4 linked regions of the Pelodiscus sinensis genome follow. The protein of the gene in region 3 purifies or fractionates together with the protein of the main gene of each other region. This does not show direct contact. Links are inferred from orthologs where the notes say so. Each region holds a gene or a part of one and is shown on either strand. Other genes may lie near its edges.

Region 1 (8,073 bases), on a different chromosome or scaffold from region 3:
CCTGTTTTAAAGTAGGTTTTTGGATGTAAATATGAACTAATCCTCACTGCAAGACATTTAAGTGATACTAATTTTTATAGTAAGTAAAATGGATCTGCTTACTGAGGAGAGGTGAAAAAGGCAGTCAGTTCACATTTATCCCACTTAGGTTTACTTTAACATAACAAATAGAAATGTTTACAAAAAAATCCCAAAAATATTGTGCTGCACTTTTGAATGTTAAACATAGCACTGGAGCTAGACATGAGAAATTCCACAATGAAAGTAGTTAGAAATGGAAACCAATGCCATAAGAAAAAACAGCTTAACTAGTGAAGAGATTTTACATTTCCCCCCACTTTATTAAAGTAAAGTACTGTTGCTAACATAAGGATGTTCTTTTTAAAAAATGATTTTTAACCCGGTAATCTCTCCAACTTCCACAAGGCAACAGAGCCTAGATTAGAACTCAGGAAATCTAAACTTCTGGTCCTGTGCTAAAGACCACGCTCAACTTCTGCCGCCTGTTAAAGTAACACTGTCAAAGGGGTACGGGTAATAACTTTTACTGGATCAGCTTCAGTTGGTCAGACAGACAAGCTGTCGAGCTTCAGAGGTCAGCTTGTCTTTGATCAACAGAAGTTGAGTCCAATAAAAGATATTATCACACCGACCTTACCTCTAATATCTTGGGACCTGCATACAATACTACATTTTGTTTTGATTTTTAATGCAAGGGACTATTCACAATGGGAAGCTTACCTGGATAGAGAGTTAGATCAGAGTACTGTCTGTGACTTCACAAGTAGGCTGTTATGATGCGTGAGAAGCTTATACTTAATAAATGGTTGAGGAAAACTAAGTATAGGACTCTCATGCAATCTGTGGTTTGTGCCCTGCTTTTTTAAACAGTCTGCCCTAAGGTTGCTACTCATGCTCTTCAGTTACTGCAGGACATCTTGACAGATACACCCAACACAAAGGTTGGATTCCGACTAACACTATTGACATCATTGTATGGAGTTAACAGCAAATTAAGAGAAAGAGTCTAGAGTGAAAATAAAAGCACTGGAATTTAAAGTGAGTTAGCATTCTGGGCTCAGGGGCCTTGACAATACTTTTTACAGGAAATAGGGCTAAATTCAGTCCTCTCTTACTCTAGGCAAATCCTAGTGGAATCAACAGGAGCTGTGCACATGACTCGAAGGGCAGAATCCAGTTATAACAAAGATGTTTTAAAGACAGAGATTTGTGTTTCTTCTTTGGACAAGCTGTCTTAAAATAGGGTGTTAATCCAAATCTGTCTCTAGAACTCTTTCTACAGAAGGAAAATCCCACTATTTGACGAGTATTTCACAGAAACTAGTTAACAGGTACAAGTGTTTAAGTAGTACATTCAATTAAATCTACAGAAAGTTAAGCTCTGTCTGCAACAAGAAACTGACCAATTGCAGAAAACAATCTGTTTGCAGCAAGTCCACTGACCTGGTGCTGAAAACAGCAACTTGCTGCCATCAGAATGCTTTCTGTAACCATGCTGAAAATAGTTGTGTCCTAGATACACAAATATCTATTTAAACAAAGGTTTGAAAAATACAGTCTCCCAGGACTAACAGAAAAGCTTTCTTGGGCAAATGTAAATAATTTCCACAGAACCCAACCTTTCATTATAAAAAAAAAGGGGGAGGGGGAGGGAGGGTGCTTAACCATTATGACTGAAAAGAAAACCTTTCCAATATGAACAAAGTGTAAGCCCTTAAAGTAATGTCTTCCTCAGCTCTAGTATCTCTGCAACTGCAAAGAGCTGTCCAAACTACAGCAAAGCAGAAACTGCCCAGGGTATTGGCAATCTCAAAGCTGGAATTTCATGAGCAATCAGTGAGATAGGTCAATTTGATACTGGAGATGTCAGAAAGCTCTGAGCAGCAGAGGAAAACTCAAGAGAGCAGGAACCTTCCTCATAAAATGGAAGTTGAGCAAGAAACAGTTAGAAGACATCCCTCCCCACTGGAGCTCGGAGGTTATGGGAGAGCTAGCTTCCTGGCTGCTGAAAGAATTGTTCGAGGTCTCTTCTAGTCTACTTCTACCTATTCTTGGGCCATGGAAAGCTTTTCTAGTACTGAACCTGTGGAATTCCCATTTTGAACTATTGGACATCAGGTTAGCTACAGAGAATAAATGAATTCATTAAGCTTATGAAGCACATTCACATTAATAATTAGATTTTAGAGTTAAATTCTGTTAAAATAAATTGAACAAGATAGGTAGTAAGAGTTTATGATTGGAAGAGGTTAAGATCTCTTCCTTACTCCAGACAAACCCCATGAGAATCAGGAGAAAGAATTCACACTCTAGGTCTTGGTATATGTGACTGCATTCACTTGATGATTACCTGTTCTGTTCATTTCCTCTGGAGCACCAGGCATTGGCCACTGGCAGAAGACAAGATACTGGGTTAGCTGGACCTTAGGTATGACCCAGTCTGGCAGTTCTTATGAAACAACCTAGCAGGGTGTGGATGTATTGCAAAGACTACTTTTCTAAGCAAAAGGGTTAGCGCATCTAATTTCTGAGTTCAGAAATACAACACACATGTTCCTAATATGCAAAACCCATCCTATAACAAATCCCCATATGCAATTTCAATAGCAGTGACAAAAAAACCAAGCACGCACCGGTTCGGATGCAGAACATTATCCATTAAAAGCCCAGAGCGCGGCACCTGCGTTTCCAAGCGTGTTCCCCGGACTGTCCTGAAAGGTCTCCCCCCCCTCGCTCCCTGCACCTATCAGAACCCGCACGAGCTGTGCAGTTTAAATAGCCCATGATCCCCCATGGATCTACCGGGGGCAGGCAGCGCAGACCCCCCCCCCCCGGGCTCAGCCCACAACAGCCCCAGCCAGGGGCAGGCCAGTCTGCTCCCCTCGCTTCGGGGGGGGGGGGGCTCCAGCACGTTCACCCCAGAGGGCGTCCCCCTCCAGCCCCCCCGGGGAGGGGCCGCATCCCACCCGGTGCTGCTCCACCCCCGGGGGAAGGGCCCCCCCGAGCCACACCCCTCCCCCCAGCGGGGCCCCCATGTGGGGCCCGCCCCGCGCCAAGGGCCCAGCCCCTCCCTGGAGCCCCCCCCCGCCCGCCGGCTGCTCACCTGGGCGGGGGCGGGCGGCTCGCGCGGGGCGGGGGAGGGGGCGGCGGCGCCTCCGAGGCGGGTGGGGGAGGCGGCTCCGGCTCGCGGCGCGGGACGGGGCCTCTACGCGCGGCGGCGGCGCGGGGCGGCCATTGTGTGACATCATCGGTACGCGACAGCCTCTCGCGGCGGGGCGCCCCCGCCCGCCCGGCCGGCCTTAAAGGGGCCGCGGCTGCGTGTCGCGCGGGGGGGGGTAGCAGGGGTGTGTCTGTCTGTGTGTGTGTGAAAGAGAGAGAGAAAGGGGTGTGTGTGTGTGTGTGAAAGGTGTGTGTGTGTGTGAGAGAGAGAGTGTGTGTGTGTGAGAAAGGGGTGGGTGTGAAAGAGGGGTGTGTGTGTGAGAAAGGGGTGTGTGTGTGTGTCTGTGTGAAAGGGGTGTGTGTGTGTGTGTGTGTGAAAGGGGTGTGTGTGTGTGAGAAAGGGGTGTGTGTGTGTGTCTGTGTGAAAGGGGTGTGTGTGTGTGTGTGTGTGAAAGGGGTGTGTGTGTGTGTGAAAGGGGTGTGTGTGTGTGTGTGTGTGTGTGAAAGGGGTGTGTGTGTGTGTGAAAGGGGTGTGTGTGTGTGTGTGAAAGAGAGAGAGAAAGGGGTGTGTGTGTGTGTGTGTGAAAGGGGTGTGTGTGTGTGTGTGTGAAAGGGGTGTGTGTGAGAGAGAGAGAGAGAGTGTGTGTGTGTGAGAAAGGGGTGGGTGTGAAAGAGGGGTGTGTGTGTGTGTGTGAAAGGTGTGTGTGTGTGTGTGTGTGTGTGTGAAAGGTGTGTGTGTGTGTGTGTGAAAGGTGTGTGTGTGTGTGTGTGTGTCTGTGTGAAAGGGGTGTGTGTGTGTGTGTCTGTGTGAAAGGGGTGTGTGTGTGTGTGAAAGGGGTGTGTGTGTGTGTGTGAGAGAGAGAGAGTGTGTGTGTGTGAGAAAGGGGTGGGTGTGTGTGAAAGGGGTGGGTGTGTGTGTGTGTGTGTGAAAGGGGTGGGTGTGTGTGTGTGTGTGTGAAAGGGGTGTGTGTGTGTGTGAAAGGGGTGTGTGTGTGTGTGAGAGAGAGAGAGAGTGTGTGTGTGTGAGAAAGGGGTGGGTGTGAAAGAGGGGTGTGTGTGTGTGTGTGTGTGAAAGGGGTGTGTGTGTGTGTGTGTGTGTGTCTGTGTGAAAGGGGTGTGTGTGTGTGTGTGTGAAAGGGGTGTGTGTGTGTGTGTGTGTGTGTGTGTGTGTGTGTGTGTGTGTGTGATAGAGTCCCAGGGCGGGCAGAGCCCTCTGGAGTCCAGTCCCCTGCCCAAGGCAGGACCAACCCCAACTCCATCAGCCCAGCCAGGGCTCCGCTAAGCCTGGACTGAAACACCTCTAGAGATGGAGACTCTGCCCCCGCCCTAGGGAACCCATCCCAGCGCTTCCCCACCCGCCTAGGGAAAGAGTTTCTTCTAATCTCCAACCTAGACTCCCCCATTGCAACTTGAGCCCATTGCTCCTCGTTCTGCCCCCACTGAGAACAGCCTCTCTCCATCCTCTTTGGAACCTCCCTTCGGGTAGTTGCAGGCTGCTCTCAAATCCCCCCTCACGCTTCGCTTCTGCAGACTAAACAAACCCAAGTCCCTCAGTCTCCCCTCGTAGGTCATGTGCTCCAGCCCCCTCATCATTTTGGTTGCCCTCTGCTGAACCCTCTCCAATGTGTCCACATCCTTTCTATAGTTGGGGGTCCAGAACAGGACGAAATACTCCAGATGTGGCCTCACCAGAGCTGAATAAAGGGGAATAATCACTTCTCTGGATCTGCTGGCAATGCTCCTCCTAATGCACCCCAATATGCCATTAGCCCTCTTGGCTACAAGGGCCCCCTGTTGACTCATATCCAGCTTCTCATCCACTGTAACCCCAGGTCCTTTTCGGCTGAACTGCTACTTAGCCAGTCGGTCCTCAGCCTGTAACAAGGCTTGGGATTCTTCCGTCCCAAATGCAGGACTCTACACTTGTCCTTGTTGAACCTCATCAGATTTTTTTTTTTTGGCCTAATCCTCTAATCTGTCTAGGTCACTTTGGACCCTATCCCTACCCTTCAGCATATCTACCTCTCCCCCTAGCTTAGTGTCATCTGCAAACTTGCTGAGGGTGCAATCCATCCCCTCATCCAGATCATTAATAAAGATGTTGAACAAAACCAGTCCTAGAACAGATCGTTGGGGCACGCCGCTAGAAACCAACTGCCAACCTGACATCGAGCCGTTGATCACTACCCATTGAGCCCGACAGTCTAACCAGCTTTCTATCCATTTTACAGTCCATTTATCCAATCCATAATCCCTTAATTTACTGGCAAGAATATTGTGGGAGGCCGTATCAAAAGCTTTGCTAAAGTCAAGGTATATCACATCCACTGACCTTTCCATATCCACAGAGCCAGTTACCTCATCTTAGAAGCTAATCAAATTGTAGGTTGTATGTCTCTGTGGGTATGTCTACACTACAGCACTAATTCGAACTAACGGATCCAGACTAAAAAACTAGTTTGAATTAGCGTTTTGCTAATTCGAACTAGCATGTCCACATTAAGTGGACCCTGAACCGGGGTTAAGGATGGCTGGAAGCAGTGCCGGCAGGGCATCAGATGAGGACTTAGAGCGTGGAGCTGCTGCCTCAGGCTAGCCGAGGGCTGTGCTTAAAGGGACCTGACCCCTACCCTGGACAGACAGTTCTCAGGGGTGCCCTGCTTGCAAAGCAGTCCTGGCTTGGAGTGCCCGGAGTACCCACACTGGGCACATCACAGCACTCGGCCATCATACCGGCTGCACTTCTGGGGAGAGGTTCCACCCCCAGAAGCCCGCAGAGCCAGCCCAGTCCTCCCCATTGGGGGCTCGTACCCCATTCCTCCCTCACCTCTTTCCACTTACCCTTCCCTAGCCCCCCTTCCTGATGTACAAAATAAAGAAAACGTGTGGTCAAAAATAGAATCTCTCTTTATTGAACAAAACTCGGGGAGACTGGGAAAAGGAGGTGGGAGAGGGGAAGAGAGAGGGTGGGAAAGGGGAGGGCAACTAAAATGATCAGAGATTTGGAACAGGTCCCATATGAAGAGAGGCTAAAAAGACTAGGACTTTTCAGTTTAGAAAAGAGGAGACTGAGGGGGGATAGGATAGAGGTCTCTAAAAGCATGAGTGGGGTGGAGAGGGTGCATCAAGAAAAGTTCTTCATTAGTTCCCATAATAGAAGGACTAGAGGACACCAAAGGAAAGGAATGGGTAGCAGGCTTCAAACTAGTAACAGAAAGTTGTTCTTCACAAAGCAAAGAGTCAACCTGTGGAACTCCTTGCTGCAGGAGGCTGTGAAGGCTAGAACTAGAACAGAGTTTAAAGAGAAGTGAGATCAAGTCATGGAGGTTGGGTCCATGGAGTGGTATTAGCCAGGGGGTAGGAGTGCTGTCCCTGGCCTCTGTTTGTGGAAGGCTGGAGAGGGATGGCACGAGACAAATGGCTTGGTCACTGTCTTTGGTCCATCCCCTCCAGGGTCCCTAGGGTTGGCCGTTGTCGGCAGACAGGCTAGTGGGCTAGATGGACCTTTGGTCTGACCCAGTACGGCCATTGTAAGCTCAGGGCTCAGGGTCGGGGGTCTCAGTGGACAACCTTGATTTTCATGCAAACCTGCTACTGGGTGGCCAGGCTGGCAGCTCTCCTGCCCTAGACGGGCACTTTTCTGTGCCTAGTGCGGAGGTCGTGGACGAGGTCCATGATGTCCGCACTAGACCAGGCGGGTGCCCGCCACTTGCGGTCCCGGGCAAGCTCCCGGGAGCCGCCAGCCTGGTCCCGGGAAGAGGGGGAGGGCTGGGGGGCATCGGGTGGCTGGCTCGAGCCGTGCCAGGTGCAGGGTCTGCTGGCTTGGTGCTGGCAGGCTTGCACCTGGCACGGGCACCGTAGCCAGCCCGTGCCCCTTTAATGGGTCCGGGGCCGGGAGGGGGGCATACGAGTTTCCCTGGTGTTGGCCACAGTGGCCACCAGGGAAAGCTGGGGAGGGCTAGCCTCCCACTAGTTCGAATTAAGGGTCTACACAGCCCTTAATTCAAACTAGTAAGTTCGAACTAGGCTTAGTCCTCGTAGAATGAGGTTTACCTAGTTCGAACTAAGTGCTCCACTAGTTCCAATTAAGTTCAAACTAGCGGAGCGCTAGTGTAGCGCCTATCAAAGTTAATTCGAACTAACATCTGTTAGTTCGAATTAACTTTGTAGTGTAGACATACCCTGTGTGTGTATGTATGTATATAGGGGAAGGTTGTATGTTTAGATGTGTATGGATGCATGTTATGGGGTGCCAGACTTTTTGGGTGTGTGCTGGGAGGGGAAGGCAGGGTGTGTGTGATCTATTTATTCATGCACAGAGGGACACACCACACACAGCCCACATGACTGTACCCTGCATCTTGTCCTCTGGCCAGATTGCTCAGTGCTGCACAACACACTGCCATGCCGTTCCACCCTGTTCCCCTCACCATCCACTGAACTGCAAGACAAAGTGAAGCTCAAATGCATAGGAGTAAATATAGCACTGGAACCCAATGCTTAAACAGCACATCCACAGGTGCCAGGGGCACACAGAATGGGTGTCTGATCTCAGAGGTCCAGAGTAGAAGTCTGGGTGCATTCCGACGTTCAGTAATGTATACTGTATATTGACTTTCAAGGATGTTAAAACAAAAAGAGACCAAGAGAAATGCGGAGTGAAAGTTCAATGCAATTATTAAGCAAGGAATCCAGATCCCCCTTACTCTGCCCCTGTCACGATAGTTCTGGGAAAGTTGAAAAGGCAACCTCTTTCCGGAAGACAGAGCTTCACTGTTATTGATCTCAAAGCCGAGATGGTTTCAGCCGCAGTTGTATAATGGTGGGCCAGCTTTCCCATCGGGCACATCATGCAAACAAGGATTTTACAAATTCCTGAGTAGACAAATCACC
Region 2 (8,186 bases), on a different chromosome or scaffold from region 3:
GAGCCTTACCACCATTGTGATCATAGTATCACTCCTCCAAAGTAAGAATGTGAGCAAAAACATATTAACTTCATTGATTTATAGTCAGGACTATCACCCAACATACTTAGCTTCATGTTAATTCTGATCAATTGCTCCTAGCAATCTGATCAAACAGACTGGGACTCTTAGCCATGGTGATATTGTTACACAGCTCACTAGAAGTAGCAAGCCCTTTGAAATATATAAACTAGACGTTATACAGTAAATCAAAGATGATGTACCAAATTTCACTACACATACAAAACTGATTTCAGAGGCAGGTCAACTGGGGTAGAGAATAAGGATGTTAAGTAACGATTAATTGACTAGTCGAATAGTTGATGGAATTGTCGATAGGCACTTCTGCATTCCTCCTCTGAAATGTACAAGAGCCCCCGCTGGGGCTCTTCTACATTTCAAAGGAGGAATGCGGAAATCCTCATGCAGCCTGGAGACAGCGGGAAGTCACGCTGACTCCAGGCTATGCCAGCTTTGAAATGTACAAGAGTCCCCAGTGGGGGGCTCTTGTGCCTTTCAAATTGGCAGTGCAGCATGGAGCCTGGAGTCTGACCCCGGGCTCCATGCTGTACTACCAATTTGAAATGCCATGCAGCTGGGGACTCCCTAGCTGACTGCAGGTTCCACACAGCATTTCCTGAGAACCCGGGATCAGCTGGGGAGTCCCCAGCTGATCCCAGGCTTCACACAATACAGCGCACAGCCGATCCTGGGCTCAGCTATGCAGCACTGCCCCTTTGAACGCCGCCTCAGCTATCTGATAGAGGCAGGAAGAGGGGGAAATCAATGAGTTGACTAACTATCCAAAAAGCATTTGCTTATTGGACAGTCAACTAGTCCTTAACATCCCTAGTAGGGAATACTACATAAAAATAGAAGGAAGTTTTGTCCACTGAGGCTAGTGTTACTCATTGTACTGCAAGTATCAGAAGGGTAGCTATTAGCCTATATCTGCAAAAACAAAATGAGGCCTGTGGCACCTTAAAGACTAACAGTTTATTTGGGCATAAATAACTTCCTATATGCCCTTGCCCACAAAAGCTTATACCCAAATAGACGTTAGGCTTTAAGATGCCACTGGAACCCCTCATTGTTGATTATACTGCAGTAGCCCCCAAAAGCCACCATCAGGATCATTAGTCCATGTGTAAACAGAACCAGCGATGACCCTTGCCTACGGGCTCTGCAACACGTAACACCAGTAGTGAGAACACGAGTGGTGGGACAGCAAGAGTGACAAATTCCAGTTCTGATGAGGGACACAGGCACTAGTATCTGAACAAAGCTCACAAGGCCTTGGTCACTGAAGGCTTTGCATTAAGGTGCATGAATTATACAGAGCTGAATCAATACCCTAACCCAGTGGTTCCCAACCTGTGGTCTGCAGACCCCGGGGGGTTCACAGCGATACTGTAAGGGGTCTGCATGGAACTCCTCACAGACAGTACGTCCTACAACCCACACAGCTTCCCCAGTGGGCTCAGGGACGCCACTCAGGAAGGAGCATGGGCTGAAGGACATGCAGGCACAGATATATTGTTTGGGGGGGGGGGAGGGGTCCGTAAATTTTTAATAGATTGAAAAGTGGTCTGGGTCCTCGAAAAGATTGGGTGCCACTGCCCTAGTCTGTGGCTTGAATCCACAGTGACAATGGCATTCAGTTCCACTCCTGCAGCCCTGGACCACAAGCTGTCACTGCCAGAACAGCAGCCAAGCACCCCACCTGAATAGATCCAGCCATCCCCAGTATCCCCAGAACAGGCCTGGCCCTGGAAGTGGCTGGCAGAGCAGCCCTTCAAGCCTGACATCCCCGGATCCCTTCTAAGCTTCATAAGTAGCCTACCCATCCCCCAGCTGCCAGGGCCCAGTGCCTCCCCACAATCAAAAGCCCAGTCCCCCATAACCCTCCTCATTTACCCAACAACCCACGAGTGGAGCCACCCCACAACCCTCCTAAACTACCCCATAACCCCGAAGTATCCCATGTCATCCCCCCTCACCCGCCATCAATCCCAAGCAGCCCTGAGGATGGTCCCGACCCCATGAGCCTCGCACCACATCCCCAGCAGCCCCTAAACTGGCCCTGCCCCCATGAACCTCCCATCCTACCCCCAGCAGCACACAAGTTGGCCCTGCCACCCTATAACCCCCCCCCCCCAAACTGGCCCAGTCCCCCATGAACCCCCCCCTCCACGAGCTGGCCCAGCCTCCCCATTGCTCCCCCCCGGCTCCCCCCCCCCGAGAGCTGCTTCCCCTCCCCCCCGGCTGCCCCCCCATCTCCGCTCCCCCCCGGCTCCCCTCCCCCTGCGAGCTGCTCCCCCCGAAAGCTGCTTCCCCTCCCCCCTGGCTGCCCCCCCAACTCCGCTCCCCCCCCCCGGCTCCCCCCCGAGAGCTGCTTCCCCTCCCCCCCGGCTGCCCCCCCACCTCCACTCCCCCCCAGCTCCCCCCCCCGAGAGCTGCTTCCCCTCCCCCCCGGCTGCCCCCCCAACTCCGCTCCCCCCCCCGGCTCCCCCCCGAGAGCTGCTTCCCCTCCCCCCCGGCTGCCCCCCCACCTCCGCTCCCCCCCAGCTCCCCCCCCGAGAGCTGCTTCCCCTCCCCCCCGGCTGCCCCCCCACCTCCGCTCCCCTCCCCCCACGAGCTGGCCCAGCCCCCAGGGTTCCCGCCAGTCAAGTTCAGGCCCTGCCCCCACCCCCGGCTTGGGGCCTCCGGCCGCGGCCTGGCGCTTGGTCCGCGGTGGGCGCCGGGCCCCGCTCACCCCGCCAGCGAGCCGCCGCTGAAGAGGCAGGGAACGGCCGTGTGGCGCCCGGCGCCGCCGAACTCCTCCGCTGCGCGAACCTTGTACGCAAACTGCGTAAACGCCGCACCACAGGTCATTGGGGGAGGGGAGGGGGGAGCTACGCAAACTCCGTAACGTGAAAGCTGCCGGCTACGCAGCGCCGCGAGAGCTCCGCAGAAGCAGCGCGGGAAACGGGGAGGAGCGACCCGAAGCGCTGTCCTGCGCAAGCGTCGTACGTCAGGGGCGGTGTTCCACCAATGACGTAGCAAGACCATAGAGAGCGCCGCCACAGGCACCGGCCCGCTGCTGACCCCTAGCGTCAGCTCCCTGAGCTTGCCCTGCAGAAGGGAAACCCCCAGAAGTTGGTCCCAATAAAGATATTAAGTCCCCCAGTTTGTCTCTCTAATCATGTTCCTGCAGGAGAAGATCTATGAGCGGGAGAGAGAAGAGGAACCATAGGCTCAGAGTAATTAACAGTACAGTTGTGACTAGGAGTTTAATTACAAAGAGGCTTCCCAAACCTTCAACATATTAAACACCAGGGCTGTCTACGTTGGCATCCTTTCAAGTAGGAATAAGGGATCTTCTGGAAAAGGGTTTATTTTCCACACTATCGCGTCTAGACTGGTGCTTTTCTCCGGCAAAACCCCGAGCTGGAAAAAAGCAGCAGCCATGTTCATGCAAATGCCACGGGGGATATTTAAATCCCTGCAGAATTTGCAATTCCGGAGTGTCTCATTAGCATCCCTTTTCCGGAAAAGGGTGCCAATGAAGACGTAACCCAGGGCTGTGTCTAGACTGGCAAGTTTTTCCGCAAAAAGCTGTCTACACTGGCCACTTGAATTTCCGCAAGAACACTGACTTCCTACTGTCTGAAATCAGTGCTTCTTGCAAAAATACTATGCTGCTCCCGTTCGGGCAAAAGTGCTTTTGCACAAAGCTTTTGCGCAAAAGGGCAGTGTAGACAGCTCAGATTTGTTTTGCGCAAAAAAGCCCTCATCGTGAAAATGGCGATCGGGGCTTTTTTGCAGAAAAGTGCGTCTAGATTGGCACGGACGCTTTTCCGCAAAAAGTGCTTTTTTGGAAAAGTGTCCGTTGCAATCTAGACGCGCTTTTCCGCAAATGCTTTTAATGGAAAACTTTTCCGTTAAAAGCATTTGCGGAAAATCATGCCAGTTTACGCGTAGCCCAGGACTGTGCCTCACCCATTGTCATACAGGCCTTGCCAGCGTGACTCCAGGTCCTAGGATATGACTGGTTCAAAAATCCTGGAACCTGCTTTCACAGTGACACAAGAAGCTCCTCCAGGGCAGCAGAAGACAAGGAGTGTCAGGGAAGTGCTGCCCAGGCTTAGGGCGGTGAGGTTGTATCTACATGGCACCGTAACTCAAAATAAGATACGCAATTTGAGCTACGCAAAATGCATATCTTATTTCCATGCTATTTCAGAATACAGCATGATTCCGAAACGTCCCTTACTCCTGGTAGAAAGAGGTTTATAGGAACGTCAGAATAGTGAGCCTATGAACATACCAGGCTTTCTGTGAAGATGCGGAATAGCTATTTTGGGATACTCCGCTATCCCAAAATAGCGTTGCAGTGTAGATGTAGCTTGAGTGGGGGCCTGGGGAAGTGCTGCTGAGCCCTGGACAGACCATGATTTTTGATCCCTTGAAATGGACAATACAGGTGACCCCTAATGTACGACCTCCCGACTCAGGACACCTCGCATAGACGACTGCCCTGCTCCAGCCCTGCTCCTGCACAGTGAGCCACAGAGTCAGCCAGTTGCCCACAGCCCTGACGGGCACTGGGCACAACTCACACCACGCCACTGGCTCCAGGACACGTGAAGCCGCCTCCACCCGGACAGCTCTGGGAGCAGCTTGCAAGCTTGCACAGTGCTGTCTCCACACAGCATAGCCCCCAGCTGGCTCTAGGAGCAGCTCGCACCGTGCTGCCTCCACCCAACATAGTCCTTGGCACTGGCTCTGGGACACGTGGAGCCACCTCCACTTGGCACAACCCCTGGCTGTCTCTGGGCCTGGCGTGCTGGGGACTACAACTCCCAGGAGGCAAAGCGGGCCAGGAACGGACCCCCCCCCCCATTTATATCATTGTGCCTCTGGGAAATAAGGGTTCGACTTACAACAGCTCAACTTACGATGGTTCGCCAGGAACCAATTAGGTTGTAAATATGAGAGTCGCCTGTACTGCAAACATCCCTTTTTTTCCAGGCCCTGTTGGTTGTTTGATCCTGATTTTTGTATCTACCCACTGGCAAACTGGCTACCTAAAAGAGCCACTGAGCAGCTAAGCTAGCAACTCTGGGGCCCTTCCACTAGGATTCTCATGTGTGGGAATCTTGCTGCTGTCTCCATTTCCAAGCCCCCAGTGCTCTGCAATCAATTCCTAGAGCCATCCCTCTCCCACACACATAGCTAATCCATTGGAATACTAGCAAAAGTGGCGGGGCAGGAGGAGGCTGCCGTGCTGTGAAGGAAAAACTGCATTTCACCCTCTGATGCAGACTTCCTTGAGACTGACCAAACTACACCCTTAGTTACGCCCCATGGCAGATGCCCTGGGTTTCAGTTTGCAGATCTGGGAGGCAGGAGTAGCTTGGTGATCTCAGCAGCAACACAATGATACAGAAGTGATTCCCTGTGCTCCTTATCCTACTCTTCCTTTTTCACCTTGTGCAATATTCTGCACCAGCAGTGTGGGGGGAATCAAGCTTTTTGTGCATGTAAAGCACATGGGTGTTATGTCATCTGTTAGTGGCTGGCCCACAGGAAGGACAAGGGCCTTACTTTTACAGCTAGCAAGGGGAGATGTCCTTGAATAGACAGGTCTGTGTTTTTGGAGAAGACCTTGAGCCTTGTTCAGCTGAACTGGTATGTGTGATTTGTCTTGCACTGGTGTGGTGGTGCTTGCTAAAGGTGGATTCGTTACAAGCTTCCACCCAGTTTAATAAATGCGTGGTGCAAAACTCATTGGGATCACAAATATACCTTGCACAATATTATCTCAAAAACTCCCTGGGATGAAAAAGGTGTCCAAAAAAGATGTACAATGTCTGCCTCCAGCCAGGGATGGATATAGGGCAGGGCGAACGGGGCAGCCGCCCCAGGCCCCGCGCTTCAGAAAGCCCCGCGCATGCGCTGTGGCAAAGGGGGGGCCCCGCGGAATTATGCTGCCCGGGGCCCCGCAAAACAGTCATCTGCCCCTGCCTCCAGCTTTGACTTCTCAGGCCAGCTAATGAGAGGAAAATAGCTTCAGTCTTTGAAAAGGGAACAAAACCATATTTTTAAGTCACTGGAATGAATAAAAACAAAATAAATTCTGTTCCTTGTTTTCTCTTGGGTTTTTTAAAATAATATTTTATTGTAATATAATATCCCCCAACTCATCTTAGGGATGCTTGAAAAATGAAGACATACTAAATGTCGTAGCTTCTTCAAACTCATTTGAGAAGAATTCTTTGAGTACTGAGGGAGAGAAACTATGCCCAGAATATCTTTGTACAGGGGTGGATTGTGGGGTCATGGATCAGAACAAGTGGGGGCGTCTTCCACCTGTACTTGGAAGCCCCTGTACCTCAACCCTGTTCCCCAGCAGGAACGCCAGGTGGGTGGGTGGGTGCCCATTTTTCCAGGGGTCCTCCAACTGACCAAGGCAACTGGGCACAGGCCCCATTATTCCACTGGTTAATCTACCCCTGTCTTCACAATATAGAATACATGAACCCATCCTTGTTTGTGCTATCAGCAGGTTTTCTTTTAAACAGCATCTAGTAAGTTCTTCAATCTATTTTTCAACACAAGCACACATAGGAACACCTGTTACACTATTTCAAACTATATAGAGTAGGTTTTGGCCTTACTCCGACATGGTTCTGTAACTTTGCCACGTGGTCTTATTTTGGGCCTAATCCAAAACCCACTGAACTCAACTGGAAACTTCCCAGTAACTCAGATGAGCACTGGAGCATGTCTCAGGTATGTGTTATATGAAACAGTATCAAATTACATTGGGGTATTACATAAGAACATAAGACCGGCCATACTGAGTCAGACCAAAGGTCCATCTAGCTCAGTATCCTGTCTGCCGAAACTGGCCAATGCCTGATGCCCCAGAGGGAGTGAACAGAACAGGGAATCTTCAAGTAATCCCTCTCCTGTAACCATTCCCAGCCTCTGACAGAGGCTAGGGACACCATTCCTATCCATCCTGGCTAATATCCATTGATGGACCTAACCTCCATGAATTTATCTAGTTCTTTCTTGGACCCTGTTAAAGTCCTGGTCTTCACAACCTCCTCTGGCAAGGAGTTCCACAGGCCAACCGTGCGCTGAGTGAAGAAAAACTTCCTTTTGTTTGTTTTAAACCTGCTACTTATTAATGTCATATGGTGACCCCTAATTCTTATATTGTGGGTACAAGTAAATAACTTTGCCTTATTCACTTTTTCCCTACCAGTTACGAATTTATAGACTTACAAGCTGGTTCCCCCCAGCACCGTCTCTGCGGGGATGGAGGGGGGGAGGGCGGGGAGGCAGAGGCGCAGTGGTGGAAATGGTGTGAGCAGGGCCTGAAGCAGTCTCCACTCACCTGGGGTCCCGACTGCTGCGCCTCATCCTTTGAAATGTACAAGAGCCTGCAGTGGCTCTTGTACATTTCAAAGGCAGAGGTGCAGCAGGATAGCAAGTGCCCCCCTTATTGACTAATCAAGTAGTCAATGGAAATTCCATCGACTATTCGATTAGCCAATTAATCGAAATTTAACATCCCTCAAGGGACAGCACCCCTTTGTACCTGACACAGTGAGGAGTCACCCTGAGTTGAGGCGACAAGTGCCAAGAAAAGACCCAAGACGTGACCCACTCAAGGAGAGAGGAGAAGCTGCTCCAAATGCTGGCAACAACAAGCACCTGGGAGAGAAAAGGAAGGAAGGAAGCTTAAGCCAAACATCAGGGAGGGGGTCACATTCATGTTTTGTCCATTTATTGCCAATGTCACAGATCGGTCTTGTTTTGAAGCTTGCTTCACCCTGTGGCTGGCTCGTTGTTCATCTGTGTATTTTGCTTCCCTGTTTCTTTGCAGTTTGTGCTCGGAGTGACTGATAATGCCTTTTATTTCAAGCATGACACCACCTTGTGGTGCAGCCACGGGTTGCTCCAGCCTGGTTACTACCAGTCCCACACGTGACTGCCAACACCCAGCCCACATGGGGTTGGAAACAGCAGCCAGGGGCGGGGCACAGTGGGGCTGGAGCTCCCGGTTACCATGAAGGTTGGTGGTTAGTGGGTGACCGGTTAACTGTGTACCTGTTCACATCCCTAGTCCTGATTGCCTGATTGCAGAAGCA
Region 3 (7,752 bases):
TGGTAAAAGTGAGAAAGTAAACAATTTTTAATAATATATTGTGACATTTGCATTTTTTATATTTGATTTTATAAGTAACTTTAAGTGAAGTGAAGGTGGGGGTTTGCAGGATAAATCAGATTCCTGAAAGAGATACAATAGTCTGGAAGGTTGAGAGCCACTGTTTTCAAGTTTCAGAAGGGTAGCCATGTTAGTCTGTTTAGCAAAAACCATGAGGCATCTTTAAGGTACCACAGGAGTCCTCGTAGTTTTTGCTGATTTAAAGGTTGCTCTATGTCACTCATTAGCAAACTGATTGTAGAGATGGCCTAATGGAAGCAGTTAAGTGTTGAAATTCAACAGAGTCACTTTCTCTTCTGTCATCTTCAAAGTATAGATTCCAGAGCAGATTTTGAATAAGGTAGTAATCAATTCTCCTGCTACCAAATTTCCAAATATATGCTAACTGGGCATCTCTCACCTGACCCACCCCCCAAGTTTTGTGCCCTAATTTCTTCTGTAGCCAGCATCCTATCTCTCATGGCAATAGACCGAGTCTCACAAGAAGCACACTGGTTACTATGCAGAGGCAGGGATACAGGATCACATTCAGCACTTTCACAGAAACAGCACTACCGTACCGAACACAATGGTTTGACCACGGCCTTTGGCAGTTTCACAGGTGATTTCATTTTCCTGGCTACTTTCACATATTTTTCTCTATTACAAGATTATGCATTTTTGCCTGGGATATTTAATACACTCACAATTGAGGTAACAATATTTGAAAGTTAACAGTCAATTAGTGGGCACGTCTATGGTCCAGATCTATGTTGTAGAAGTTGGACAGGTAACGCCATTTGAAATTCAATTATAAATTAGGGATGTAAAATCCCATTTAATTGGTTAACCAGTTAAACATTATGTTTAACTGGATAAGCACATAAAGGGAGTGCAGCGGGCTGGAACAGCACCCCAATGCAGGCAGGGGCTTCTCTGGCTGGGCTAACACAGCCCTTGCCTGTGGCACTCCCTGGGTCCGCTGCAGACGGGTGATCCACCTGGAAAAAGTAAGATGCTACACTTCACCCCAGTGATGCTTACTGGTTAACCTTTCATTTACCCAATACAAGTCACCAATTATTTGCTGTAAGTTCTGTATCTTGAACTGCCTCGTAAAATATTTTATACAAAAAACAACAAATGATATAAGAATTAATTAATAATCATAATAAACAGAAAAATACCGGACATCAACTATAAGCAAGTTGGGCAGAAACCACGTCTTCAGAAGTGTCTGTACAGAGGTGCTGCTTGAAGGGCCAAAGCACTGGTTGTGAGAGGGGCCTCAGGGAACAACTGCACTATAACGTAACAGTCATAACTAATAGCAGTTTACTGTTCACATTGCACCAATGAAGATGCTTATTTTCGAGCTGTGTAAGTGGCCACAGACATGTTAAAAGCACAGAGCTATCTAGGATTTTCAAAACATGGCACTGCCTCTACGTGGGATGCTCAGATCTGTTCCCGGAAGCCATGTCTGGAAGCTGCATCAGGTGCTACCTCATGCTTCGGAGAACAGTCACAAGTCCTGAGTGGCATTTTCAAGACAGAGGCTGGACTGGGGGCAGAGGCTGCTGTGGGCGTGGGGAAGGGATGCTGATTCTCTCTGAAAGTCAGACGCTAACGTGACCTCATATAGAATCCTAGAACTGGAAGAGACTTCAAAAGACTTCATCAAGTCCAGTCTCCTGCCCTCAGTGCAGGACCAATCACTATCTAGATCATCCCTAACAGGTGTTTGTCTAACCTGCTCTTAAATATCTTCAGAGATGGAGATTCCACAACCTCCCCAGGCAATTTATTCCAGTGTTTAACCAGCCTGACAGGTAGAAAGTTTTTCCTTATGTCCAACCTAAACCGCCCTTGCTGCAGTTTAAGCCCATTGCTTCTTGTCCTATCCTCAGAGGCCAAGGAGAACAATTTTTCTTCCTCCTCCTTGTAACACCCTTTTAGATACCTGAAAACTGCTATCATGTCCCCTCTCAGTCTTCCCTTTTCCAAACTAAACAAGCCTAATTCTTTCAATCTTCCCTCGTAGCTTGTATGTTCTAGACCTTTAATCATTTTTCTTGCTCTTCTCCGGACCTTCTCCAATTTCTCCACATCTTTCTTGAAATGCGGTGCCCAGAACTGGACACAATACTCCAGTTGAGGCCTAATCAGCGCAGAGTAGAGTGGAAGAATGATTCTTGTGTCTTGCTCTCAACACTCCTGTTCATGTTTGTTTGTTTTTGTTTTTTTTTGCAAGTGTCACACTTTGACTCATGTTTAACTTGTTGTCCACTATGACCCTTAGATTCCTTTCTGCAGTACTAATCCTTAAACAGTTGCTTCCCATTCTGCATGTATGAAACTGATTGTTCCTTCCTAATGGAGCACTTTGCATTTGTCCTAATTCAACTTCATCCCGTTTTCCTCAGACCATTTCTCTAGTTCGTCCAGATCATTTTCAGTTATGACCCTGTCCTCCAAAGCAGCTGAAACCCCTCCCAGCTTGGTATCATCTGCAAACATAATAAGCGTCCTGGCTATGCCAATATCTAAATCGTTGACGAAGGCATGTAACAGAATCGGTCCCAAAACAGACACCTGCGGAGCCCTGCTTGCGGAACAACCAAACTCTGCCAAACCCCAGGCACCTCTCCAGTTCAATGAGGGAACAAGCTTTGCACTAACACTCTACTGTCCTTAAGCCCCAACACAGGACTGGGCTCTGCTGTCACAGCACTGCAGGCTCGTCGGCCCCTCAGAATAATCCCCGCCCCGCAAGAAACCTCAGAGCCCCCCTGACCCCGCCACCTGAGCCCAGCAAGGCCTGGAGCCCCCCCCCCCCCCCCGGCCCAGCAAGGCCTGGAGCCCCCCCCCCCAGTCCAACTGCCCCCGGCCCAGCAAGGCCTGGAGCCCTCCTCCCCACTCCAACCCCCCCTCCGGCCCAGCAAGGCCTGGAGCCCCACTCCGACCCAGCAAGGCCTAAGGCACCCCCGGCCACGCACCTCACCAGCGCTCGCGGCTCCCCTCAGGCCGGCCCGCGACTGCGCACGCGCAACTCTCTCTCAGGGCGGAGGAGGCGCTTCCGGCTTCCGCGCGGCCAAGCATTTCCGGTTCGCCGGATGGGAGGGTCACGCGCGACGAAAGGCTTCCGGGCCGGGCGCTTCCGCGTTGGGGGCGGGGAGCGGCGGTTGGCGGCTCGCGCGCGGCGGGATGCGGCGGCTGTAGGGGCGCGCGGGGGCGGGGCCTCGCCATGCGCTACAACGAGCGCGAGCTGCTGGCCCTGGCCCGGCAGCCGGCCGAGAAGGCGGCGGAGATTCTCATGCGCGTGCCCAAGAAGGGCAGCGGTGAGGGGCGGCGGGGGCGGGGCGTATGAGGGCAGGGGGCGGGGCTGGAGGCGGGGTGTGTGAGGGGAGGGGGCGGGGCGTATTTGTGGGACTGGAGAGGGGAGGGGTCGGAGCGTGTGGGGGGGGCAGGATGTATGGGGATAGAATGGGGCCGGGGTGGGTCGGGTGTATGGGGTGGGGGAGGGGCGGGGCATATGTGGGAGGAGCTAGGGTGGGTCGGGGGCGGGGCGTATGGGGATAGAGTGGGGGTGGGGGAGGGGCGGGGCATATGTGGGAGGAGCTAGGGTGGATCGGGGGCGGGGCGTATGGGGATAGAGAGGGGGTGGGGCAGGGGCGGGGCATATGTGGGAGGAGCTAGGGTGGGGCAGGGGCGGGGCATATGTGGGAGGAGCTAGGGTGGGGCATATGTGGGAGGAGCTAGGGTGGGGCAGGGTGTATGGGGATAGAGTGGGGGTGGGGCAGGGGCGGGGCATATGTGGGAGGAGCTAGGGTGGGGCAGGGTGTATGGGGATAGAGTGGGGGTGGGGTGTACAGGCACTCAGGAGGGCCGGGGGAGGGTTCTATTGTGGGGCATGAGGCTCAGCTTCTTCCACTCAGGAGCCAGCTACTCCCACACCTTCCCCATTCCCCCCCCCCCCCCAACTTCAATCTGGCTCTTTGTCCTGCCTCTGTTGAGCTCCCTGCCCTGTCCCCTTCCCTGTGGGATGAGCAGGGACCACGTTGGCACTTTCTCAAAGAGGCGGTAGCTCCACTCCTGCATTCTCCTCCCCAGCGCTGGTGAGGTGGTGTATGGCACTGAGCTACCACCCTTTGTCCGCAAAGTGGCTGCCTTCCTGTGGTGGGGGATGGCATGTACAATGCACTGGTAGACCCCTACGCAGATATAAAATTGGTATCTGTATTGGCAAAAAGATGGTGGGAGATCTGCAACCACAGCTGCGGCCGCAGAGAGCTGCCACCTTGCAGGGTTTGAAGCAGCTTTCTATCCACAAAAACAAGACATGGATAGCGGCAGCCATATTCAGGGATGTGGATACCTGTGAATTTGCATTGGGATCGTACCAGCCAGGAGGTGCTACAAGAAGCATGTGTGGTTAAAGTTTTATAGGTCATCAGTGAAAGCTTAGCCAAGGCTGGCACACCTAGGATAGAATTGAGTTGCTTGAGAGGTCATCAAATTGCTGTTCAGCCTAGAATCATAGTGCTATGAACCAGTAAGAATGAAAGGTGCCTGCACCTTCCTTTGTGCGACAGGTCCAGTTTTCCATCCTACAGCTGAATGTTCCCTCTAATATTTTCTATCCTTAAGCAAAATAAATTTTGTATGCAGCAAAGCATGTACCAATGTGCACTACCAGGCCGAGACACAAGGGCTGTGGCTACACAGGCACGATCTTGCGTAAAAACTTGCTGCCTATCTACAGTGGTCACGTGTTCTTACGCAAATAAACTGATGTTCTAATGTATAAAATCAGGGCTGCTTGCGCCAGAACTCTGACGCTCCTGCTCAGGAATAAGCCCTCTTGCGCAAGAGCTCTTCCAGAAGAGGCCAGTGTAGACAGGCAACATGAATTTCCTGGGCAAGAAAGCCCTATAGTTAAAATGGCTCTCAGAGCTTTCGTGCGGAAGAGAGCATCTACACTGGCATGGATGCTCTTGTGCAAAAGCACATGCCAGTGTAGACGCTCTCTTCTGGAAGAGTTTTTGCATAAGAACGCGCCAGTGTAGATAGAGCCAAGCTGACAGCTCTGGATGCTCTGCTAAGCAGCTGGGCGGAGTATGAATCACTCCAAAGCACTCAGCTAACAGGGAACACTGCCACAGACCTCCGCTTCTGAATGCTGTCTCTCTTCTTTGCAGTGCTGAAGAAACGCCTAGTGAAGCTAGTTGTCAACTTTCTCTTCTACTTCCGCATAGATGAAGGAGAGGTATAAAAATAACTTGCTTCTGCAAACTGGCTTTATGAACTTGTTAGAGCTGTTGTAGAAAAACATATTAATAAGGCAGGTTCTATACCAAAGGGCCTAAAAACCAACCAAGAGCAGACTGCCGTTGTGCTAAGCTCTGTACTATCACAGAATCGTAGATGGTCCATGCCCTGAAACACTTACCGGTGAAGTAGTCACACTGCACTGTTTAGCTAGTGGTGTTTGAGGAACACAATGAAGCCTCTGCTTGGCGACGCTGAGAAGCAACTGCTGTCCTGCCCAGCCCTGGCTATCAGTCTAGGGGTGATCTCTGAAACCTAATCATTGCCACACTTACACGCATGGCTGCAATTCATTTATGTGAAACTAGTGAGATTGATTTTAAATTTAGACTAAGGCCCTAGCTAAATCTCAGTAAATAATAACTGTATCATTGCTTTTGAGCAAGATCTGGCAGTGTAAAAAAAAACCCCCAAAGCATTGTAATCGCTGTATTTTATCAATATTCCTTACTTGGACCTATAAGTATGCAAGCGTATTGTCTGGTTGTTGTAGCAGAGGAATGCGAGCTGGAGCCCACTGGTTCCAGAAAAGACTTTTGATCTGTCTTGGCCTTTGTTTCTCATCCTTAACAATAAAACTCACTTGCACTGTGATTGGACAGAAGATGCAGGATGAGCATGGCATGGTACTGCTGTGGCTACGCCATTTAACAGACTTGAAGAGAAGGTGCTTTCGGTGGTGTTTGTAGTGATCAGAAATACATGTGACCCTAAGGATCCTTGCACTCCCTTTGCAGAATATTTCTTCTCTCCTCCTTGTCTCCTCTGACAGTCATGATCATAGGATCTGGCCAAGAAGATGCCACACTTCACAGTCTCTTTGGGGTGATTATGAAATCATGTTAGAGCTTTGACCGCATGAGACTAGAGACCATTCCCAGTAGCAGATTTCTCTCCACTCCTGCTTACACGAGTTTGGCTGTTTTGGCTAATTTTCCTGGCAGTTAGAGACTATAAAATATTTCCCTTTGTGTTTAGCAGTAAGTGGTCCAAAAATAGTTTGGAAGCTTAGAATAGTATGTGCTGACGGGATACTTAGTCAAATAACACCTCTTAACACTGAGTTGTTCTTAAAAAAAGTCTGTGGTCTCTATTCTATTTGTTTGTCTCTTGCAGTTCATTTCGGACAAAGAAAAGAACCCTTTCTCTGGTTTTCATGCCTTAGCTCAGTGCACCCATAAATGACTCGCAAATTCTGCAGGTGAAATTTGTTTGTTTAAAATGAACTGTTTTAAAAAAACCGAATGCAGGGACAGATTTCATTAGACTTCTGCAAAGCTTCAAGCATGTTCTTTTCCAGACCTAAGTTTGGATTTCTGTTTGTGCTGTGCCTTCCAGCCAAACTTGATGTGCAGACTAGATTCTAGAGAACTTTTACCACCTTTGCCTCTTTTTGTGCAGATCACTGAGCTATTTATTAACTCTCCAGAGTTGTACTGAGCAAATACAGATGTCCAAAGCACTGTGTAAATACTAATCAACACAAAATATTTGTACAGTGAAGTATGACAGCAGAGACAAAGAAATTGGCTACCTAAAAACCGCTCTGTTTTCAACCCTCTCAGTTCTCGCCAGGTTATGACGTCTGCCCTAAAGTCCGTCCCCTGGTAGTTTGTGGCTTATCAGGATCTTCCTATCATTAAAAATATTTTTGTCTTCTTGAGCTGCCGTGAAAGACCCACTGTAGCAAACAATACATGGGAACCAGTGAAAGAGCTGTGACTAGCAAGATAGTGCACAAGAACTCAAATAGCTTAGGGAATGTCGTTTCTGCTCTAGCCTCTTGGCACTGTTGTCTCTCTCTTTCACGAGTCACTCACTGCGGCCCCCACGTCAGTCCCCGTGTTCCCTTTCCCGCCACAATGTCTCACATGTGTAGAACTGGCTGAACAAGGGGAGGGGTGTCTTAACCCTTCTCTGTGGGTTTCTTTCTAGCCAATTGGAGCTTTGCTGTTGGAGCACTGCAGAGTCACCAAAGAAGAGGAGAATGTCTTTTCGATCAGTGAGTTGTGGGAGAAGATTCTCATGGGTGTATCCTCCTCTCGGTTTCCCTTTTCAGTCAAGTAGCAGAAGGGCAAGGGGAATGTTTCTAGAGTCAGATCCTGCACCATACTGTGTGGAGTGTCCTGTCTCACGTGGGGCGGGGCAGTATGGGAAAAGGGAGACGCATAAGAAAAATTCTTGGGTGTTGTAAGAAGTGATGCTACAAAATCAATAGCCACCCTCTTCCCTCCCTGTGCTGCATCATTGACGCCTCCTGGCGTAATGATTGTGCTGCTGAAGGGTTGGTCTCGTCATGTAGGTATGAAAACCAGCCCCCCAGCACGGGAAGGTCCTGGACCATATTTTGGTGGTGTCAAGGTGCTAGCTCTGGTGCTCTGG
Region 4 (7,778 bases), on a different chromosome or scaffold from region 3:
TGGAAAGCAAATATATCAGAATGCAGACTGATCCTCAGTAATAATATAGTCCATTGGGAAAGAATTTCAGTTAAACTTTCCTGACTGTGCTTCTGCAGTCATTCACTCCCCTCGTTTTTCCTGGGACAGAGATGGCCACAATACTACTGAATACAAATGAAGGAAAGTGAGAAATTTCAGAAAAACTAAAAGGAAGAGAAACACAAAGGGATGCTTTATTGTTGGGGCAGAAAAGACACCAATGCATCCTTCACTGAGCACGAAAACGAACAACATTCTTGTTCTATGAAATACAGGTGTCAAGTATGCTTAGCTAAAAATGCTGGAGAATCCTGGATAACATCAGTTTCTTTAGATAAGAATAACTCTTAGCTTAATCTCTAGAAAAAAAATCATGATTTTGTTTTATAAGTAACCATTTCCAATATGTTTACTATTACTCAAATTTGTTCTCTGATATTTATTCTTGTTTTCATTATATCCAGGGCAAGAGATCTCAAACTGGTAGTCGTGACCTCTCAATCTCCACTCCCAAACCCAGTTATGCCTCCAGCATTTAGAATAGTATTAAATATTTTTAAAAGTATTTTTAATTTATAAGGAGGGAGGTGCACACACAGAAGCTTGCTCTATGATAGGGGTCACCAGTACAACTGATCTAAGGCTGTGGAGTTAAACATGATAATGGTGCTCTGTTGAATTTTACAAGCTGGTGTATAATTCTGTTCCCTGAGGTACAGCAGGCTCTGTAATTTTGTGAGTATGCAGTGGTTAAGAGGCTAGACTGAGGCAGGAAATTATTTTTTGTCAAGGTCCAAATTTCTTGGTCAAGATATAGCTGAGGTTCAGATTCCAGACATTAAAAAAATACCCAATAGGATATATGGGTCTGTTCAAAAGCATCTGGCAGTCTAGATTTGGCCTGCAGTCCTCCTGACTTCCCTGCAGTGTCTAATTTGTGGTAATATTCCAAGGACTTGGATATGGTGGCCACCAATCCTCATGTACAGTGGGACCAAGGCCTTGATAGAGGCGAGGGAGAGGATTGCAGCGGCACTGGAAGTTAGTGCTTGTACTACCAGAAGCTTCTGAGTTCAGAAAGCTGAGCAACAGCAGGCCCAAACAAGACTAGTTGATGCTAAGAGCAGATAGTGGTTAGGTCACCAATGGGCATCTAGTCTAGCAAATGGGCTGCATGAGTGGTCCTCCATGTCAGTTACAACAATCTTGTGGCCCACTAAGATGATCTCTCTGGATAGGGTAGTTTTTTTAACTGTTCTTAGTTATAATTTGTGAGGTGTACCTGACTGAATCATAGTAGCACTTTGATTGGATGCAGGGAGGGGGTGCTGCATGTAGTCATTTGGATGAACTGATAAACCTAGACTTAATCGTTTACACATCTATAGGCTAACATCTGTAATTGGGATTCCATTGGGCTAGCCATACCACAAACACGCCTACGTTTTATGTCTAGACCAGTGGTTCCCAATCTTTTTGCTACTGGGGACCAGTAAACCCATTCACAAGCTTTTGGAGGACTGGTAACATATTTGCATATTCATTAAGCAAATGATGAATATGCAAATAAATTGTGTCACTGGCCCTACCTGTCCGGTAGGTTGTTCCACCGCTCCGGCCCCAATCACAGCCACTTTAATCGACTGGCACCGGCTCCCTCAGCTGCATCCGGTGCCGGGTATTCTGACTCGGTGTACCCGGCAGATTGTTCCGCCCCCTCCGGCCCCAATCTCAGCTGCTTCATTGGCCGGTGCCGGCTTCCCCGGCTGCGTCTGGCATTCCGCATCGGTGTGCCCGGCTTTCTCCCTGGGTCCTAGCACCTGTCAGATCTAGCCCCACCGCCCGGGAGCATGCCCAGCAGATACCACGGCGGTGGGTCTCTCCCAAGAGGGCCACGCCGCCTCACTCGGCAGTGCAGAGTGCTGCTACCCGTCACACAAATTAATAAGATTGTGTGCAATAATTTTTCCTAAGGACTGGTACTGGGCCGTGGACCACACTTTGGAAAACGCTGGTCTAGACTATATCTCTTGAAGACAGAATACCATACTTTTACTGAGTTTTCACAACATGCTGATAAAAAAATACAAACTTTAATTTAACCATACCTTCTTTTTTAATTTTGTCATTGATATTATTGATGTAAACAGTATGGTTTGGTCTGATATCCATCTTCTAACTTGCTTACACAACAGCCTAGAAAAACAAGCACAATCTATTAAAATACTTTCCATTTATGAGGATGAATTCTTAATAACAGATTGAGTTTTTGTTAGTTTAGATCAAATACCTGTTGCCAACATCAGGCTATATAAAATGGTATCAGAACTGCCTCGCTCCACAGCAAAAAGGAAGCCCTTTCTATCACATGGGGGTTTTAAAACCATATATGAAAAACAAGTAGCCCTTAAAGACTAATAAAAATACGTATAGCATCAAGAGCTTCCGTGGGCACGAAGCGGGTTTTGCCCATGAAAGCTCAGGATACCATATATATTTGGGAGCGAGGGACTACTCGCTGTTTTCAGCGTTACCGACTAACAGGGCTGCTACCCCTCTAAAGCCACACACGGCCATGTGCCCACAAAGGGCCATCTCCTGGGAGGGAGGAGCCGCCGAGAAAGCACCAAGCTGCGTGTGGACAAGAGATGTCCCGTAATCCCTGGACTGCCCCTCAGCAATAACGCTCCGTCGTGTTCAAACTCGTCGTGTAAACAGCGAGGCCCTCACATCACCCTCCCCCCCCCCCCCACAAAGCCAACCGCAGCCCCCGACACCCTCCCCAACAGCGGCCTCCTTCAGCCACCCAGCGCCCCCACCGCTGCAACGGCCCCCCCCCGCAGCCCATGGGCATTAGGGGCCAGCCCCAAGCGAACCCAGGCGAGCTCCCCCGCCCCCCAGCGGGCTTAGCGCTGCTGGGTGCCCCGGGGCCGCAGCGGCCAGTCCCTCACCCTGCTCCCACCGGTCTCAGCGCCGCACCAAGCCGCGCGCTGGCGTGACCTCATCCGAACACGCAGACGACAAGAGTCGATCTCTCGCACAATCGATATATCGCGCGCCCAATCATCGATGAGCTCTTCTCCCTCGCGCGTTCCTTCCTCTAGCACGCCTGCGCCGCCGCCTTACCAGGTCGGGAGTGGAAGGCCGAGCGGTCCCCGTGTTGCCCCACGTGTCTCACTCACTGCATAGAGTTGTGGGCCGGGCTTAGGTGCAGCACGTCCGAACCGCTTCCGTCAGGGCCAACAGGAGGCCTCCTGCCGGCCCAGGCTCTTCCCCGGGTGATTTTCGTGTTTCTGGTCCTTGCCCAGATGCTGTTGTGCCTCGGCCATCCCCTGCCCTTCTTCCCAAAGGCTCTGAGCCAGCGCTGTCACGCCAGTTGGTGGGGCAGTGCCCTAGAGCAGGCCCCTATGCGGGGGGGGGAGGGTGCGAAGGGTGCAAAAAGCAGGTACCCCATAGAAGCATGCTCTGGCTGGCCAGAGGAAGGCAGCAGCGGGTTGCTGCCCCATGCTCTGGCTAGCCAAGGGAAGGCTGGAGCTGATTTCCCCGCTTACTTGGGAAACACGGGGGCATATCCACACCCTTGTGGCCCACATTTACAAACAAAGCATACACCCCCACAGAAATTCCTGCATAGGGGCCTGTAGAGAATCCCATTTGGACACAAACAGCAACCAGGTGTGGAAGAACAGTCAGGAAAGGGCCTGGGTGAACAAGAGCAAGTTCCTGTAATGCTTTGAAAAATGCTGATACCATGCTGTGGTGTTTTAGTGGGAGTGCTGGATGTATACACTGATCATACGTCCCGGATTTTCTGACACTGTCCTGATTTTAAATACTCTGTCTCTGTGTCCCCATCAAGTAGTGAAATGTCCCAAAAAGCCCTGCTGGATATTTCACTACTTGATGGGGATACCAGCTTGCGGAAAGAATTGACCGAGTCCATGCACTGTCACTGCTCCTTGTGCAACGCCGCCGCAGCAGCAGCCTCCTCCCTATCTCCCCCCGCGCAGAGCGCATAGGCGGCTGCACTGGAGCTTTGCTGGCTGGGGCCAGCTTCTAGTGGCATGTGGTTTCTGTCACTGCCCACCCATGGGTTGGCACCTCATAAATTCACCCCTCTTGGAGCCAACACCCCTTCCTCTCGCCCAGGCAGCAGCTCTCACTAATTGCGCTTAAAGGGGCAGCGGCATGCACATCCCCTCCTGCATGGGCGCTCTTGTTTCTGGGTAGTCCCTGAGCCCAGCATGGCTCCCAGACAGGACAGGCACTTGCTCATGCTCAGTGCCTGCATGGTCACTTACTTTCTATCAGCCACCCAGTGCCCCACCACTGCACAGTGCCTCCCTCTCCCTGAGGGACTGCCTCTATCGCATGGGATCCCTGGTCTGGCCATGTAGCCTCCTTTTCCACATGTGCAGGGGCCGCTTGTTCTTTGTTCTTCAGGAACCAGGAGCTGATTGGGGTGGAAACCTCACCTGGGGAGAGATGTGAAATCTTTGTGGGATGGTGATACTGTTATGGGTTGCTTTGCTATGAATCTTTGTTAATAAGGTTATTAAGTTTCTGAAAACATCCACCCAGTGAAAAAAGCAGTCAAAAAAGCAACCAAAATGTTAGGAATCATTAAGAAAGGGATAGAGAATAAGACAGTATTTTATTGCTGCTATACATATTCATGGTACACCCACATCTTGAATACTGCAGGCAGAGATGGTCACCTCATCTCCCAAAAGGTATCTTGGCATTGGAAAAAGTTCAGAAAAGGGCAAAAAAATTATTAGGGGTATGTAACATCTTCTATACAAGGAGAGATTAATTAGACTGACTTTTCAGCTTGGAAAAAAAGATGACGGGGGGGATATGATAGAGGTCTATAAAAACATGACGGCTACGTCTACACTGGCCCCTCTTCCGGAAGGGGCATGTAAATTTCACGAGTCGTCGTAGGGAAATCCGCGGGGGATTTAAATATCCCCCGCGGCATTTAAATAAAAATGTCCGCCGCTTTTTTCCGGCTTTTAAAAAAGCCGGAAAAGAGCGTCTAGACTGGCCCCGATCCTCCGGAAAAAGTGCCCTTTTCCGGAGGATCGGGGCCAGTGTAGACGCTCTTTTCCGGCTTTTTTAAAAGCCGGAAAAAAGCGGCGGACATTTTTATTTAAATGCCGCGGGGGATATTTAAATCCCCCGCGGATTTCCCTATGACGACTGGTGAAATTTACATGCCCCTTCCGGAAAAGGGGCCAGTGTAGACGTAGCCGACTAGTATGGAAAAAGGGAATTAAACAACTATTTGCAGAAGAACTAAGGGTTACCAAATTAAAATAATAGCAGCTTTAAAACAAAAGGGAATACTTCTTTACATAATGCACAGCCAACCTATGAAACTCCTTGCCAGAGGATGTTGTGAAAAGATTATAACAGGGTTCAAAAAAGACCTAGATAAAATAATGGAGGATAGGTCCATCAATAGCTCCCTAGTCTTTGCCAGAAGCTAGGAATGGGAAATGAGAGAGGGATCACTTGATGATCATCTGTTCTTTTCATTTCCTTTGGGGGCACCTGGTATTGGCCACTATCAGAAGACAGGATACTGTGCTAATGGAGTTTTGGTCTGACATAGTAGAGCTGTTTCTAGGTATGTTCTTAATAATGAAAGGTATGTTTATCTATGTTAAAACCAAGTTATACAAGGTGGTTAGCTGTACACTCTTGTGTATATAGAATATTAGTGTTGTGGGATGCCCTGTTTAACTATACAGGCAGTCTCCGACTTACGCGGATCCGACTTATGTCGGATCCGCACTTACGAACGGGGCTTTCTCGCCCCGGAGCTCGCAGGCAGTGGTCCGCCACCTCGACCTCCAGGGCAAGAAAAGCTGCTCCTGGTGCCCCTGGTCTGCTGGGGACCGTCTCCAACAGACCAGGGGCACCGGTAGCAAAGCCGCAGCAGCGGCGGGTCCCGCGCCAGAGCAAAGCCTCAGAGGCGAGGAACCCCGCCGCTGCGGCTTTGCTCCCCGTGTCCCTGGTCTGCTGGGGGGGGGGGGGGGCGCAGCTAGTGTGCCCCCCCCCAGCAGACCAGGCTTTTGTTGTGGACCCTGGGGCCAGAGCAGCTGGGGCGCTGCCGGTTGGTCCCGCAGCGTCGCTCTGGGCACTACTGGACCAACCCGGCAGCACCCCAGCTGCTCTGCCCGAGGCGTCCTGATTCAGCCGCTGCTGGTCAGTTTCAGCAGCGGCTGAATCAGGACGCCTGGGGCAGAGCAGCTGGGGTGCTGCTGGGTTGGTCCAGTAGCGCCAAGGAGCGGCGCTACTGGAGCAACCCAGCAGCACCCAAGCTGCTCTGCCCCAGGCGTCCCCAAGTCAGCCGCTGCTGAAACTGACCAGCGCTGACTACAGGAAGCCCGAGGCACAGTTGCTCTGCCCTGGGCTTCCTGGAATCAGCGGCTGATCAGTTTCAGCAGCAACTGACTTGGGGTTCTTAAGTTGAATCTGTATGTCAGTCAGAACTGGCGGTCAGTTTCAGCAGCGGCTGAATCTGGACTCCAGTTCCGACTTACATACAGATTTAGCTTAAGAACAAACCTACAGTCCCTATCTTGTACGTAACCCGGGGACTGCCTGTATACAACTTGAGTGTGTCGATCAAAAAAGTCCAAAAGCAAGAGAAATTTATGATGCAATGTGTAATCCAGAATTTAAAGCCTACCTGCTATTTTTGAAATATGTTTTGGATTACATGAACAAATTCAATGCTCTCTTTCAAAGCAAATCTCCACTCATTCATTGCACTAAACCAGCACACCAGGGAGACGCGGAGCAGCTTTTCTCGCCCCGGAGGACGCGAGCGGCGGGACCGCGGCGCATCTGGGCGTCCCGCCGCTCCCGTCCTCCGGGGTGAGAAAAGCCCCGTTCGTAACTGTGGATCCGACATAAGTCGGATCCGACATAAGTCGGGGACTGCCTGTACTTTGAAAAGTTTCACTGACTCTGGTTTAATGCAATGAATGAGTGGAGATTTGCTTTGAAAGAGAGCATTGAATTTGTTCATGTAATCCAAAACATATTTCAAAAATAGCAGGTAGGCTTTAAATTCTGGATTACACATTGCATCATATATTTATCTTGCTTTTGGACTTTTTTGTTCGACACACTCATGTTGTATATAGTTAAACAGGGAGCCCCCCCACAGCAGACCAGGGAGACGCGGAGCAAAGCCGCGGAGGATGCGGGCGGGACCGCGGTGCGTCTCGGCGGTCCCGCTACCCGCGTCTCCCTGGTCTGCTGGGGGGGGCGCAGCTAGTGCACCTCCCCCTGCAAGACCAGGCTTTTCTTGCCGACGACGCCTAGGGTAGAGCAGCTGGGGTGCTGCCAGGTTGGTCCCGCAGCGCCGCTCCTCGGCGCTACTGGACCAAACCGGCAGCACCCCAGCTGCTCTGCCCCAGGCGTCCCCAAGTCAGCCGCTGCTGAAACTGACCAGCGGCTGACTACAGGAAGCCAGAGGCAGAGTTGCTCTGCCCCGGCTTCCTGGAATCAGCCGCTGATCAGTATCAGCAGCGGCTGACTTGGGGACACCTGGGGTAGAGCAGCTGGGGTCCTGCTGGGTTGGTCCCCGCAGCGCTGAGGTGCGGCGCTGCGGGGACCTACCCGGCAGCACCCCAGCTGCTCTGTCCCAGGCGTCCAAATTCAGCCGCTGTTGAAACTGATCAGCGGCTGACTCCAGGAAGCCCAGGGCAGAGCAACTCTGCCTCGAGCTTCCTGTC

The links.
Region 1: the proteins of SF3A2 (region 3) and ZC3H18 purify together in Homo sapiens (affinity purification with mass spectrometry; 3 studies listed by BioGRID and IntAct, with this or other methods). This does not show direct contact. The link is inferred for Pelodiscus sinensis from reciprocal best matches to the Homo sapiens genes SF3A2 and ZC3H18.
Region 2: the proteins of SF3A2 (region 3) and RBM17 purify together in Homo sapiens (affinity purification with mass spectrometry; 4 studies listed by BioGRID and IntAct, counting the BioPlex papers as one, with this or other methods). This does not show direct contact. The link is inferred for Pelodiscus sinensis from reciprocal best matches to the Homo sapiens genes SF3A2 and RBM17.
Region 4: the proteins of SF3A2 (region 3) and SNRPB2 purify together in Homo sapiens (affinity purification with mass spectrometry; 6 studies listed by BioGRID and IntAct, with this or other methods). This does not show direct contact. The link is inferred for Pelodiscus sinensis from reciprocal best matches to the Homo sapiens genes SF3A2 and SNRPB2.

Annotation. Positions count from the first base shown.
Region 1 is NC_134722.1:3,918,708-3,926,780, forward strand, and holds the start of ZC3H18 (zinc finger CCCH domain-containing protein 18), read right to left. Parts: upstream 3,254-8,073; 5' UTR 3,125-3,253; intron 2,772-3,124; exon of another isoform or gene 2,655-2,771; intron 1-2,654.
Region 2 is NC_134711.1:8,475,039-8,483,224, reverse strand, and holds the start of RBM17 (splicing factor 45), read right to left. Parts: upstream 3,001-8,186; 5' UTR 2,914-3,000; coding exon 2,795-2,913; exon of another isoform or gene 2,729-2,794; intron 1-2,728. UniProt on the Homo sapiens protein: Splice factor that binds to the single-stranded 3'AG at the exon/intron border and promotes its utilization in the second catalytic step. Involved in the regulation of alternative splicing and the utilization of cryptic splice sites.
Region 3 is NC_134729.1:27,235,312-27,243,063, forward strand, and holds the start of SF3A2 (splicing factor 3A subunit 2), read right to left. Parts: upstream 3,196-7,752; 5' UTR 3,039-3,195; intron 1-3,038. Other genes in the region: PLEKHJ1 (pleckstrin homology domain-containing family J member 1), read left to right, coding at 3,287-3,380, 5,241-5,308, 7,306-7,372. UniProt on the Homo sapiens protein: Component of the 17S U2 SnRNP complex of the spliceosome, a large ribonucleoprotein complex that removes introns from transcribed pre-mRNAs.
Region 4 is NC_134713.1:180,790,789-180,798,566, reverse strand, and holds the start of SNRPB2 (U2 small nuclear ribonucleoprotein B''), read right to left. Parts: upstream 3,116-7,778; 5' UTR 2,973-3,115; intron 2,738-2,972; exon of another isoform or gene 2,312-2,737; intron 2,218-2,311; 5' UTR 2,194-2,217; coding exon 2,130-2,193; intron 1-2,129. UniProt on the Homo sapiens protein: Involved in pre-mRNA splicing as component of the spliceosome. Associated with sn-RNP U2, where it contributes to the binding of stem loop IV of U2 snRNA.